Linked DNA regions of Macaca fascicularis. The protein of the gene in region 2 purifies or fractionates together with the protein of the main gene of each other region. This does not show direct contact. Links are inferred from orthologs where the notes say so. Each region holds a gene or a part of one and is shown on either strand. Other genes may lie near its edges.

Region 1 (7,054 bases), on a different chromosome or scaffold from region 2:
TTGAATTGCACTTGTTGATGAGCTCCACGAATTGCTGGGACAGGACCCCATGCTAAAGATGAAGAATATAGGCTGGGTGCCCTGGGAGGATCCTTGCCCGGTCTGGGCCTCGGCAATCCCATAGTAAAGTGAGCAAATAGCATGAGCTCTTACGCGGGGTCTGCCACCTTAACCACTTTGTGATGACCTTGACAGGCTCCCCCATTTCTCTTAGACAAAAAGCCAAAGCCCTTAGCAAGTCTATGTGGCCCTCCATGATCTTTTTTATTTTTATTTATTTATTATTTATTTTTTGAGACAGAGTTTCGTTCTTATTGCCCAGGCTGGAGTGCAGTGGCGCAATCTTGGTTCACCACAACCTTGGCCTCCTGGGTTCAAGCGATTCTCTTGCCTCAGCCTCCCAAGTAGCTGGGACTACAGATGAACATCACCATGCATGGTTAATTTTTGTATTTTTAGTAGAGATGGGGTTTCACCATGTTGGCCAGGATGGTCTCAATCTCTTGACCTCAGGTGATCCACCCACCTCAGCCTCCCAAAGTGCTGGGATTACAAGTGTGAGCCACTGCACCTGGCCTATTTTTATTTTTAATAGAGACAGGGTTGACCCGCACGGTGGCTCATGCTTGTAATCTCAGCACTTTGGGAGGCTGAGGTAGGCAGATCACCTGAGGTCGGAGTTCAAGACCAGCCTGGCCAACATGGTGAAACCCCATCTCTACTAAAAATACAAAAATTAACTGGGTGCAGTGGTGGGTGCCTGTAGTCCCAGCTACTTGGGAGGCTGAAGCAGGAGAATGGCTTGAACTCAGGAGGCGGAGGCTGCAGTGAGCAGAGATGGCACCACTGCACTCCAGCCTGGGTGACAGAGTGAGACCTTGTCTCAAAAAAAAAAACAGAGAGAGATGGGGTCTCGCAATGTTGCCCAGGCTGGTCTCAAACGCCTGGGCTCAACCAATCCTCCCACCTCAGCCTCCAAAGTGCTGGGATCACAGGTGTGAGCCAAGGTGCACGGCCAGCCCTCTCTGATCTTGCTTCCTCTTACTGTTCCCTCCCTCTGCCCATCCACATTGGTCTCCTTACAGCCCTCCCTAGACAAAGCACACTCTCAGCTTAAACCTTTGCATTCACTTCTCATTCTACCTAGAATGCCCATTCCCCGCAAACACCTTTAAGTCTTTTGTTCAGATGTCACCTTCTGAATGAAGCTTCCTCCACTTGCTTTCAACTGCAACGCTACCCTCCTCCAGCATGCTCAGTCCCTCTTCCCCTGCTCTTTTTTCCTTAATGCTTATTATGTTCTAAATAATTCACTTATTTATTACGGTGATTGTCTACACCAGAAGGGAAGTTCCATGAGGATAGGGATCATTGATTCACTGCTGTACCCTAAACAGTTCCAAAAAGGTCTGGCACACAGTAGGCACCCAATATGTAACTGCTGAATGCTTGCTGAATGCCAACCTTGCTGCCTACACCACAGTTCCTATGCCTAGAGATGAACATGCTGCCTGGGCGAAACAGGTGCAACAGGCCCACATGGGCCCTCGACCACTCATGCCAATCACCACCACAGGCTTCCCCAGAAACACTGGCTCTGGGGCATCTGCTCTGCCTTGCCCCTTCTCCTGAGACCTTAAATATGCTCATTCCTTGGAGTTCCTTTTCCAGAGATACATCTGCTCTCCTGGTTCCAGCTGCACCCTTCCAAGATGCCCAAGCTGTTTCATCTTCAATCTGGGGTCCTTGCTGAGCCCTGGGCTCAACTACTCCAACCCTGACCTCTTGGTATCCTCCTCACTGGGGACACAAAGAGGGCCAGTCAGATCACTGCAAATCTCCTTACTAAGATATCACCCCAGGGGCCGTGCACGGTGGCTCATGCCTGTAATCATAGCACTTTGGGAGGCCAAAGCAGGTGGATCACTTGAGGACTTGAGGTCAGGAGTTCAAGACCAGCCTGGCCAACATGGTGAAACCTCATTTCTACCAAAAATATAAAAAACTAGCCAGGTGTGGTGGTGTACGCCTGTAATCCCAGCTACTTGTGAGGCTGAGGGAGGATTATCGCTTGAAGGAGGTGGAGGTTGCAGTCAGCCAAGACTGTGCCACTGTACTCCAGCCTGGGCGACAGAGAGAGACTCCATCTCAAAAAAATAATAATAATTTTTTAAAAAAAGATATTACACCAGGGGAGTTCCTCTTCAGTGTCGCCCCAGGGAAGTTCCACTTCCTGACTTCTTGAATTCCACCTGTGGGACTAAGGATGTCCCTGTCACACAGATAGCAAACCTGCCAGTCAATTTGTGACTTCTCACTCTCCTTCCCTGGGCAGCGCCATTAGCCACCAGATCCCACGTGAGTAATGTCTTTATCCCCTATTGAACCCTAACTCCTCATGTTGACTCCTAGAAAACACGTGTCCCAGCTGGGCGCAGTGGCTCACGCCTGTAATTCCAGCACTTTGGGAGGCCAAGGCAGGAGGGTCACCTGAGGTCAGGAGTTCGAGACCAGCCTGGCCAACATGGGGAAACCCCGTCTCTACTAAAAATACAAAAATTAACTCGGCATGGTGGTGTCCGCCTGTAATCCCAGCTATTCAGGAGGCTGAGGCAAAAAGAAAAGAAAACGTGTCCCACAGTCAAGCCTAGGTCTTGTCTGGGGTCAATAAGTAACTTCTTATTGAATGGAAGAAAATAAAGCAGGGTGTTATAACCGGACTGAGCATCAGGAGACCTGGTTTCCTGACCTTGAGCAAGTTCTTTCTCTCTCTGAGCTCAGGTTCCCCACTTGGAAAAATCATCCAATTGGACTCCATGACCTCTACAGGCCCTTCCTTCATACATCTGTCATCTACTACTTCATGAAACATTTGCTGAAATGTCATTTCTGAGAAAAAAAACCCACCTGGGTTTTTCTCATTCTTGTGTTGATGGAGTTATAGTTCTCATCAGCTTCCTCCTTCTGGGGCTCTATGGCTGTGGGAAGACACAGGGGTATTGGGGGTACTTGTCTCCATAGGATTTTTAGGGAAATATAATTTATCATAAAATGACTAAGGCTGAGCCTCCAAGAGGAGAAAGTAAGTTTATTTTTCTTTGCATTACATCACTTGAGTTCCCGTACGAATGCAGAGGCCACCTAACAAAACCCCATCTCCCTGCCCAAAGAATGCCCCAGTGGGCAGTGATAACTGTGTAAGTAAATGGTTTCATTGTAAATAAAAGAACCTGAGAGACTGCCTTGTGCTGTGGAGAGTACAATGGCCTGGAGGCCAGAAGACAGAGATGCTAGAACCAGGCCTGCTGTGTGACCTGGATATATCACTGGCTTCTCTGGGCCACACACTCCCCAGATATACCAACAACAGGGCAGGATCAGAGGGAAGGATCTGCCTGAGGTCCCAGTAGCTCACCCTTCAGCTGCAGGCGGATCTCCCTCCCCAGCTGTTTGATCTCGTCGCGCAGGTTCTGCAGCTCCTGCTTCATGCCTGAATAAGAGAAGGCCACGACTCCCAAACAGCAGCCCCCACCTCAACAAACCACCCTGGCCACCACCTGCGTGGAACTACAACCCCCACAATCCCTGGGGCGGAGCATGCGCTATGCAGCCGGGGTTTCACTCACTCTCCTCAGGAAGGGGCGTGGCCAGGATGGTGACCTGCTGTTTCTCCAACTCCTGGACTTTATTCCCCAGCTTGACAATAGTCTGCCGAATTGTCCGGACCTGGGGAGGGTGACCGAGAGGGCTGAAAGAGATATGGGGTACTCCAGACCACGCTGCTCCTCGGGTCCTCCTACCCCCTCGCGAATCCAGGCCAAGACTCCATCCCCTTACCTTCTGGAAGAACTCCTCGTCCGGGCTCCCCAGCCGTGCCGTGCCCGGGTGCACCACCAGCGCGACTCGCTCCTTGTCCTCTTCGTCCGAGCTGTCATCCCCCTGCCAGGCCCGGAGTCATTGGCACCACTGTTTCGCTGCGGCTGTCACCCCGCAGGACCCACAGGCTTCCGGGACTTTCCTTCCTGGCCATCAGCCACCCCTCCCTACCCCGAAGACCAGGAGTCCTGCGTTCCAGTTCGTCCGCGCGCCCCCATCCCCGCTGCCCTGGCGTCTCACCTGCCTCAGCTCGTGGGTCCTGTCCCGCATGGCGGCCTGAGCTCTCCCTCCCCGGCGTCAGACCGGGAGGCCGGCAAACTTGGAATACCCGTACCCCACTCACACTCTGACACTCCCCTCCCTCCCCCTGTGGACCCCAACACCCCCACGAGCCACCAGAGCCTCCGTCCCTTGCACCGCCCACAGTCAATGGGAAGGCGCCGACCCCGGGGACCCCCCAAGGTTCCACAGGTTGGAATTCCCTTTTCTTCCCCCCTCCAGCTCCCGCAGCCTCAGCCCCGCCCCTCCGTGATAAATTCGGGGCATGCGCATATGGTCGCGTCTCTTCCTCGCCCGAGGCGCGGAAGGTGGAGTCGGAAGTTATTGCGCCCCGAGCGGAAGCGGAGCTGCGTGGACGCGAGAACTGGCTACCGTCACCGGAACCGTTGCATCTTCCAACGGAAATCTGGTTGCCAAAAGGGGTAGGAATACGTCATTTGTACGTAATCTGAGGCACCCGCATCTCATATCACCCCATGGTGCCCCCACCGCGTCACGTGAGCAACCCGGTCCCAAACTCGTGGACCGCAGAATGTGACGCTGTGACTGTCACGTGTCCCGGCTCGGTCAGCGCCGTCTCTGGGACGCTGTTTTCATCACGACGTCCCCGGCACTCCGACCACCGAACGACGCCCACACGGCCCCCGCGAGGTGGGGAGGGGCGCGCCCACCACTCCCAGAGGCCTTTCGAGGCAGTGGGTGGTAGGACCCTTGCTGACTTCGCCTTTATTGCTTTCGGGTCCAGGGGCGTGGGCGGACTGACGACTTAGCATTTGGGGCTGTCAGCATCATGGGACCTTGAAAATCGGGAAATAATAGGATCCGAGTCGTCAGCGTCAGAAAATTGCAGGGTTGTGTGGGCAGGGAATCTAGGGGTGGAAAGTGACCTCAGCCAAGGCAGAAACCTCTTCTTCCGCATCCTCCTGGCGCAGCCTCTGACAGGTGGGCAGCCAGCCGGCGCCCTCCTTGAACACTACAGCCCGGCTGCACTCACCACCTTGTGGGCTGTCAGACCATGTCAGGGCAGCTCAGGCTAAGAAAAGTGTCTCTGCACGCTGCCTTCCCTGCCACTCACACCCCCCAGACCCTGCCTTGCATCTGAGGCAGGTAATGACTTTGTTCTTAACTGAATCTGGGGAGTTCCTAGCTCAGTACCAAGCACATTACGGGCCCTCTATAAATACTTGTGGACAGAATCTTAGCCTTTCATGTATCTGAGGATGAAGACCCTGGTTCCTTGGCCTTCTTTAGGCTTCAGTCTTTCTGACTGTGACACTTCTCTAATCCTGGCTATCGAGATATTCACTCATTTTTTATTTTTAAAAATTTTTACAAGATGGGGTCTCACTATGTTGTCCAAGCTGGTCTCTAACTCCTGGGCTCAAGCAATCCTCCTGCCTCAGCCTCCCAAACTGCTGGGATTACAGGCATGCACCACCATGCACAGAACATTCATTTAATGGATATTTTTGGGCACATACTATGGGCCAAACACTGTTCTAGGGCTGGAGATACATCAAGGACTAATAGATAAAAATTCCTGCACTCGTGGAACTTAAATTCTCTAGAAGGAGTCCCCAAGGTCATTTAGTAAGTCTCAGCATAGCTGGGAATGAATAACGGGTCTCCTGGACCCCAGGGCTCTGTCCAGGAAGCTTCTGTGAAGGTACAAGCAAGGAAAGGAATGGACCCTTTCTGCTATGCCCTGGTCAGGAAACCTAGATTCCTGGGACTGGGTTGCTATGGACTTCTGGAAGTTGCTTCCTGTCTCTTAAGTGTCGATCTCCCTCTGCACAGTGGGTAACTTGGGGGGATGGGGAGATCATCTTTATGGGTATGGGCTGCTCTAAACTTCAGTGATGATGAGGTTGGAAACTGTCAAGTGCTGTCTGATTCTATGTGAGGATTTTTGGCTCTTCTCTTCCTGTTAAAACCCAGCTCTAGCAGGGTGCGGTGGCCTATGCCTGCAGTCCCAGCACTTTGGGAGGCAGAGGCAGGCAGATCACCTGAGGCCAGGAGTTGGAGACCAGCCTGGCCAACATGGCGAAACCCCATCTCTACAAACATACAAAAATTAGCCAGGCATGATGGCAGGTGCCTGTAATCTCAGCTACTTGGGAGGCTCAGACAGGAGGATTGCTTGAACCCGGGAGGCGGAGGTTGCAGTGAGCTGAGATCACGCCATTGCACTCCAGCCTAGGCGACAGAGTAAGACTCCATCTCAAAAAAACAAAACAAAACAAAACACAAAACCCAGCTAGTAGGAGAGTGGTTCCCTGATCAACCCACAGAGGGAATGCAGGGTTTTTCAGGAAGCCTCCCCTGGAGACGGTGAGGAAAGATTCCCTGCTCCCGGGTCTTCCATGGCAGCCTCTGCCTCTTCAGTCACTGCTGCTTGCCTCCCGCATCTTTTGTCCCCTACCACCCGACCCCCTTCCCCCTCCTACTCTGTGTCTCTGAGTGGCACATGGTGGAAGGGCTCTTGGACCCCTGACTCATAGTCCTGCATGGGATCTTAAATAATGCATTACTCCTCTCTGGGACTCAATTTCCCCATTTGACGGCTTGGTCCTATAATTTCTGCCTTGCCTAAGGTAGGACTTGGACAGTATCTAGTGAGGTTAAGAAGGATGTGGAAGGGGCTGGAAAACTGTCGAGCCTCCCCTCTGGGCTTTTTTTCTTTTTTCTTTTTTCTTTTTTTTTTTTGAGGTTGAGTCTGGTTCTGTCACCCAGGCTGGAGTGCAATGGTGTGCTGTCAGATTCAGTCAATCCTCCTGCCTCAGCCTCCCAAGTAGCTGGTACTATAGGCATGCACCAGCATGCCTGGCTAATTTTTGTATATTTTTTTGGTAGAGACTGGGTTTCGCCGTGTTGCCCAGGCTGGTCTCAAACCCCTGGG
Region 2 (7,220 bases):
CCAATTTTATTTTTTTATTTTACTTTATTTATTTTTATTTTTTACATCATCATTATTATTATTATTGTTTGAGACAGAGTCTCACTCTGTCACCCAGGCTGAATTGCAAGGGTGTAATCTCGGCTCACTGCAACCTCCGCTTCCAGGGTTCAAGCAATTCTCCTGCCTCAGCCTCCTGAGTAGCTGGGATTACAGGCATGCGCCACCATGCCCGGCAAATTTTGTATTTTTAGTAGAGATGGGGTTTCGACATGTTGATCAGGCTGGTCTCGAACTCCTGACCTCAGGTGATCCACTGCCTCAGCATCCCAATGTGCTGGGATTACAGGCGTGAGCCACTGCGTCCAGCAGTTTTATTTTTTTTATAGAGACAGGGTCTTGATATGTTGCCCGGGCTTATATATAATATTTGCTGAGCGTGGTGGTTTATGCCTATAATCCCAGCACTTTGGGAGGTTGAGGTGGGAGAATCGCTTGAGGTTTGGAGTTTGAGACCAGTTTGGGCAACACAACAAGACACTGTCTCCAAAAAAAAAAAAAAATTAGCTGGACATGGTAGCCCTTGCCTGTAGTCCCAGCTGACTGGGGAGGGTGAGGTGGGAAGATTGCTTGAGCCCACGAGTTCAAGACTGCAGTGAGCTTGAACACACTGTACTGCACTCTAACCTGGATGGCAGAGTGGGACCCTGCCTCTAAAAACAACAACAACAAAAAAGCTACAGGTGTCCAAAGTTTATTTAAAGCCTTTAAAAAGGTATTTGTGGCTGGGCGGGTGGCTCATGCCTGTAATCCCAGCACTTTGGGAGGCCGAGGCAGGTAGATCACCCGAGGTTAGGTGTTCGAGACCACCCTGGCTAACATGGTAAGACCCTGTCTCTACTAAAAATACAAAAAAAAATTAGCCATGCCTGGTGGCATGCACCTGTGGTCCCAGCTACTAGGGAGGCTGAAGCAGGAGAATCACTTGAACCTGGGAGGCAGAGGCTGCAGTGAGCTGAGATAGCGCCATTGCACTCCAGCCTGGGTGACAAGAGAGAAGCGTCTCAAAAAAAAAAAAAAAAAGTTTTGTGTCTGGATGTGGTGGCTCACACCTATGATCCCATCACTTTGGGAAGCCGAGGAGGGAGGATTACTTGAGAACAGGAGTTTGAGACCAGCCTGGGCAACATGGTAAGACCCCCATGTCTACGAAAAGTTTTAAAATAAATTAGCCAGACATGGTGGTTTGCACCTGTAGTTTCAGTTACTGGGGAGGCTGAGGCAGGATGATCGCTGTAGCCCCAGAGTTCAAGGCTGCAGTGTGCTACAATCATGCCACTGGACTCTAGCCTGGGTGACAGAAGGAGACCATCTCAAGAAAACAAAACAAAATAAACAAACAAAAAAAGTATTTGTTGGAAAAGTTGACATTTCCTCCTTGGAACTGATATCTTCTGGAATGGGTCAAGAATGTTCGTTCCCTTCTGAATGTCCCTGTTATTGTTCTTCTGTCTTGATAAACACTGTCAAGGAAGAACAGATTTTCTCCGGCCTGGAGCCAGGTTAGTGGAAAAGTCCTTTGCCTTGGGCCCCTGCTCTGGTACACCAGGGCAGTCTTCTGATCACTGATCACTGACTGGGATCAATTACCTCTCTGGTGGTCCCTGAAGGGAAATGCAGAATTGCTGAACTCTGGAAGGGAAGGAGGGGTTTGGTGAGCCATCATTACAGACACTGTGCTAGTGGCAGTGCACTGCACACGCTATCTTTTTTTTTTTTTTGAGACAGAGTCTTGCTCTTATTGCCCAGGCTGGAGTGCAATGGCATAGTCTTAGCTCACTGCAATCTCTGTCTCCCAGGTTCAAGCGATTCTCCCGCCTCAGCCTCCTGAGTAGCTGGGATTACAGGCACCTGCCACCATGCCTGGCTAATTATTTTGTATTTTTAGTAGAGACGGGGTTTTGCCATGTTGGCCAGGCTGGTCTCGAACTCCTGACCTCAAGTGATCTGCCTGCCTTGGCCTCCCAAAGTACTGGGATTACAGGCGTGAGCTACCATGCCCAGCCTCTTTTTGCTTCTTACCAGCACTGTCTGAGCTAAGCATCAGCACCTGCAAACTCCACAGAGGTGAAAAGGTTCACTCAGGGGCCTGTAACTAGTAACCCAGAGCTTTCTGAATCAGAGCCCAGGATCACAGTATTCCAGACTTCAGGGGTTTTAGTGCTTTCTGTCACTGAGGGACCTGAGAACAAGTGTTATCCAGCAAGAAATTTTCATAACTGCATTTTATTTCCCTGTGAGCCAGGCCTGGCATGGTTGATCTCTGTCTCTAGAAACTGGAGTCAGATATTCAAGACATTAAAAGGAGATGGCTGGTGGGGCGTCATGGCTCCTAGGACTTTGGGAGGTTGAGGTGGGAGGATTGTCTGAGCCCAGGAGTTTGAGACCAGCCTGGGCAACATGGTGAGACCTCATCTCTATTAAAAAAAAAAAAAAAAAGAAAGAGAGAGAGAGATGGCTGCCCTTTCTAGATCAGGAGGTCCAGCCTCAGGAAACCTTGGAGGGCTGCTTGATCTTTCTTTTCTAATTCCTGAAAAGTTAGAAGACCTTTAACATCTGAGAGCCCTATTACTCTAAGCTTAAGCTCTTGTTTGGGAAGCCACTGGGTGGACAGTGAAGAGTGCCCGCCTACCTGGGGAAACCTGAGTTAGGTGTGGCTGGAGCGACTCGAGATGCGAGGTGGGCGGGGGCAGGCTGAAAGCTGGAGCAAGCAGGAAGTGAGCTGACGGCCACCCTGGGAGGAAGCCGACTAGGCTAATTCACCTGCTGATCGGCCCGGGCTGCTCTGAGACATGGTGAGCGAACTGGAAACTAGGAAAGGGCTGATTTAAAGAGGAGCCAGAAGGGGCTCGGGACTGGGGGTTGGCTGTGGGGGGGGAGGAGAGTTGGCGGCAAAGTTAGAGGGCTGGGCCAGTGCTGCCTGTGGCCTCTCCTCTTTGACAACTTGGCTGCAAATAGCTCTGAACCGTCCTAGCAGGTGTTTCTATTCCTTCTTCCTCCCTCCCCTGACCTCTGTGCTGGTGGGGAGCTGGGCTTCCGTGCCAGTGCCAATGGGGGCTCCGAATTCCAGGCAAAGTGTTGTTGTGCCTTCCTCCTCCAGGGAGCCCGAGGCGGGTGTTGTGACACCACCAGGCAGTGCTTGGGCAGTTTCCAGTTCAGATTCCAGCCCAGCGGCAGGAGCTCTCCTCTCTGGCCTTTCACTTTATCCCTACACAGAAACACAAAGGATTTGTGTGTCCACTGAGTCCTTTGGGTGTCCTTTCTCCATTAACATGAAGAAGAGAACTAAGGGTTTATAAGATAACCAGAAGTTGGTTCTCTGTGATAAGCTAGTTCTGACCCATGCCACTGGCCTGTTTTTGGAGGTCAAGGAGGGAGGAGCTTAATAATGTTTTTCTCTCCTTGTTCAAAAACCTTGTCATGAAGTCTCTGAGATGAGACATCAGCCAGGGAGGACTAGTCCTCCATTTCCCCCAACACCCAGGCGGGTATTTTTATTTAATGTCTGCATAAGCAGGTGGTTGCTTGGTGCCTGTGCGTGGTGCCCAGTGGTAGGGAAAGCAGAAGTGTGTGGCTCAACGGCTGTGGGCGCCTTCTGGGGTACTTGGTTGCCTGTTGTTCTGGGTCACAGCAGCAATGGCATTGCGGCCAGGGCCATGCTCCAGCAGCTATTTAGAGGGGCAGATGGGTCAGGCTGGGTGAGGGTGTTTTGCTGGCCAGCACAGACACTTTCAATGAGGATCCCGAGAAATCAGGAAAGAGGGGTGGCTCCGGGAATTGTAAATAGTGGTGGGCTCTGCCCTGGAAAGGGAACATTGTGAGATGCCGGCTCTGCTGTATTCTATGGCCTTCTCTAGGGAGCAAGGAAGCAGTGGGGAGGGATTTAGTGATGCGCTGCTTTTCCTTGTCAGGGGTCCTAACAATCCTGAAAGAAGTTTGATCTAGTCTCTTTAGCATCACGTCTTACCTTCTGGGGCTTACAAATGCATTTATTTTTGATTACACAAGTAATACATGAAAACATTCTCTTTGTAAACATTTCAAGCATTTTACAAAAAGCTGAAGTCTGCCTGAGGCCTTACCCTCCCCAGGCCTCTGAGGCCAAGTCTCCAGTTCCCCCACCACTTGGTCTAATTAACCCCGTGTTGCTGTGCAGGAGGAAGCCAGTGAAGGTGGAGGAAATGATCGCGTGCGGAACCTGCAGAGTGAGGTGGAGGGAGTTAAGAATATTATGACCCAGAATGTGGAGCGGATCCTGGCCCGAGGGGAAAACTTGGAACATCTCCGCAACAAGACAGAGGATCTGGAAGCCACAGTGAGACAGGGAGCCCACTGGAGGCTGGAGGAAAAGAGGAAGGGAGGGAATTTCTTTTTGGTGGGGCAAAATGAACAGGAGGGTCAGAAGTGTAACATTTCTGTTGCCTTTCACCTGGTTTGGGAGCTGATGTGAGCTGAGTCTCCACTTCTGAATCTGCTCTGCTCCACAGATTGTTATGGATCCCAGGGAATGGATCCCATGACTGGGGCTTGAGGTGGCAGCTCACCCATAGAGGCATATTCTGAGACCGATAGCTCAGTCAGCCCATGCATTCTCAGGCTTCTCTCCCGGGAAACTTGTTTTCCCTTTGAAGCCTGCCCATGACAATCATTTGGATCTGACCTTCCCAGGGCAGAAGTATTGGCTTTGAGGAAACCCCCCCACCGTGGCCTCTAGCCTTCTCTAGGAGCTATTAGACAAGGGGTGGGAAATTGCTGGTATCTTGCTGAGTTGGCTTTAAAAAGAAGGAGGAAAGAGCAGAGAAATGCTTTGATCCCAGGGTCCCCTGCTAGATGAAGGCTAAAATAATATCTCCCACACATCTTGCTAGACCTCATTCTTCTCTCTCTCCAGCCAGGGGCTGCGGCCAGCTGTTTCAGGGAGGAAGTAACTCCAAAGTTGAGCAAAGTCTGGAGCCTCAGGTTTTGTGTCCAGCTGGGAAGCTGGCTCTGGCTTTCTTAGTCCTGTGTGAACTCTTGGCTCTTGGGTATTGCTCCCTTGTCTCCCTGGGGCTCATTGCCTGTTTCTGTAGCTTAATTGTAGCTTAATTTGGGGAGCACGGCCCCAGGATTTTTTTTTTTTTTTTTTTAATAGAGCCTCACTCTGTTGCCCAGGCTAGAGTGGTGCAATCTCGGCTCACTTCAACCTTCGCCTCCTGGGTTCAAATGATTCTCTTGCCTCAGCCTCCTGAGTAGCTGGGATTACAGTGTGCACCACCACACCTGGCTAATTTTTGTATTTTCAGTAGAGACGAAGTTTTGCCATGTTGGCTAGGCTGGTCTCGAACTCCTGACCTCAGGTGATCCACCCACCTTGGCCTCTCAAAGTGCTGGGATTACAGACTTGAGTCACCATGCCTGGACAAGCACTAGGAAATTTAGTGTCTATAACTCGAATTGCTGGGCATGGGGAAGAGTGCATGGAGGAGGAGGAGTTCCCTTACTTCCAACCCTCTGTACTGTCCTGGTCCCTCCTCCAGCCTCAGCAGTCCCGATGGGGCAAGGAGTCCTGTAGCTGGGAGATGTGCCCTCCTGGAGCCTGCATCCCTCAGTCCCAGGATCTGCCCTCCCAAGGGCAGATTGGGAGGGCAGATTGTGCTGCCAGTGTTGTACCCTTGGGTGTAAGCAGGTGTCAAGGACCCCTCAGTGTGCATGACAGTGCAGGGGTAAGAAGAGAAAGGGGACCCCTAGTCATATCTAGGTGGAGACCTCCTAGGATCCTGAGAATTCTAAATTTCAACCTGGCCTTTCAGATTTTTAGGAAGGTACATTTGTCAAGGTAGGCAAGATAGAGCAATTTTTTTTTTTTTTGAGATGGAGTCTTGCTCTGTTGCCCAGGCTGGAGTGCATTGGTGTGATCTTGGCTCACTGCAACCTCTGCCTCCCAGGTTCAAGTGATCCTCCTGCTTCAGCCTCCCAAGCGCCCACCACTATGCCTGGCTAATTTTTTTGTATTTTTAGTAGAGAGGGGGTTTCACAATGTTGGCCAGGCTGGTCATGAACTCCTGACCTCAGGAGATCCATCTGCCTCAGCCTCCCAAAGTGCTGGGATTATAGGTGTGAGCCACTGTGCCTGGCCAAAGCATATTTTATTTAGCAGTTTGCTACCTCAGCTTACAGTGTCACTATTAAGATGTATGGCTTGAGCTGGGCATGGTGGCATGTGCCTATAGTCCCAGCACTAGGGAGGCTGAAGTGGGAGGATTGCTTGAGCCCTGGAGATGGAGGCTACAGTAAGCCAAGATTGTGCCACTGCACTCCAGCCTGCACTGGGCGACAGAGCGAGACCCTGTCTCAAAAAACCAACAAACAAGGCCAGGCGCCGTGGCTCATGCCTGTAATCCCAGCACTTTGGGAGGCCAAAGCAGGTGGATCACCTGAGGTCAAGAGTTCAAGATCAGCCTGGCCAACATGGTGAAACCCCATCTCTACTAAAGATACAAAAATTAGCTGGACATGGTGGTGCACGCCTGTAATCCCAGCTACTCAGGAGGCTGAGGCAGGAGAATCGCTTGAACCCGGAAGGTGGAGGTTGCAGTGAACTGAGATTGCGCCACTGCATTCCAGCCTGGGCAGCAGAGTGAAACTCTGTCTCAAGAAAACAAACAAACAAACAAACAGATGTCTGGCTTGTAGGCCGGGCACAGTGGCTCACACCTGTAATCCCACCCCAGGAGGGCGGATTACTTGAGGTCAGGAGTTCAAGACCAGCCTGGCCAACATGTGAAATCTCATCTCTACTAAAAATACAAAAGTTAGCTGGGTGTGGTGGTGGGCACCTGTAATCCCAGCTAGTCAGGAGGCTGAGGCAGGAGAATCACTTGAACCCAGGAGGTGGAGGCTGCACTGAGCCAAGATCGAACCACTGCCTGGGCAACAGAGCAAGACTCCATCTCAAAAAAACAAAAACAAGAAAGTTTGGCCTGTGGGTTGTACTTGTACTTATACTCTTGTTCCAGTGGGAGGAGCCACTGGGTCACTCACTCTGCCTTTTCCTCAACAGTCTGAGCACTTCAAGACGACATCGCAGAAGGTGGCTCGGAAATTCTGGTGGAAGAATGTGAAGATGATTGTCCTTATCTGCGTGATTGTTTTTATCATCATTCTCTTCATTGTGCTCTTTGCCACTGGTGCCTTCTCTTAAG

What was found. Proteins that work in one complex are often made in the same cells at the same time.
Region 1: the proteins of VAMP8 (region 2) and STX4 purify together in Homo sapiens (affinity purification with western blotting; 3 studies listed by BioGRID and IntAct, with this or other methods). This does not show direct contact. The link is inferred for Macaca fascicularis from reciprocal best matches to the Homo sapiens genes VAMP8 and STX4.

What each region holds. Positions count from the first base shown.
Region 1 is NC_088394.1:29,212,945-29,219,998, reverse strand, and holds the start of STX4 (syntaxin-4), read right to left. Parts: upstream 4,405-7,054; 5' UTR 4,147-4,404; coding exon 4,117-4,146; intron 3,940-4,116; coding exon 3,838-3,939; intron 3,749-3,837; coding exon of another isoform or gene 3,727-3,748; coding exon 3,627-3,726; intron 3,491-3,626; coding exon 3,416-3,490; intron 2,979-3,415; coding exon 2,908-2,978; intron 53-2,907; coding exon 1-52. UniProt on the Homo sapiens protein: Plasma membrane t-SNARE that mediates docking of transport vesicles. Necessary for the translocation of SLC2A4 from intracellular vesicles to the plasma membrane.
Region 2 is NC_088387.1:36,007,286-36,014,505, reverse strand, and holds the start of VAMP8 (vesicle-associated membrane protein 8), read left to right. Parts: upstream 1-2,735; 5' UTR 2,736-2,831; coding exon 2,832-2,834; intron 2,835-4,195; coding exon 4,196-4,354; intron 4,355-7,078; coding exon 7,079-7,219; 3' UTR 7,220-7,220. UniProt on the Homo sapiens protein: SNAREs, soluble N-ethylmaleimide-sensitive factor-attachment protein receptors, are essential proteins for fusion of cellular membranes.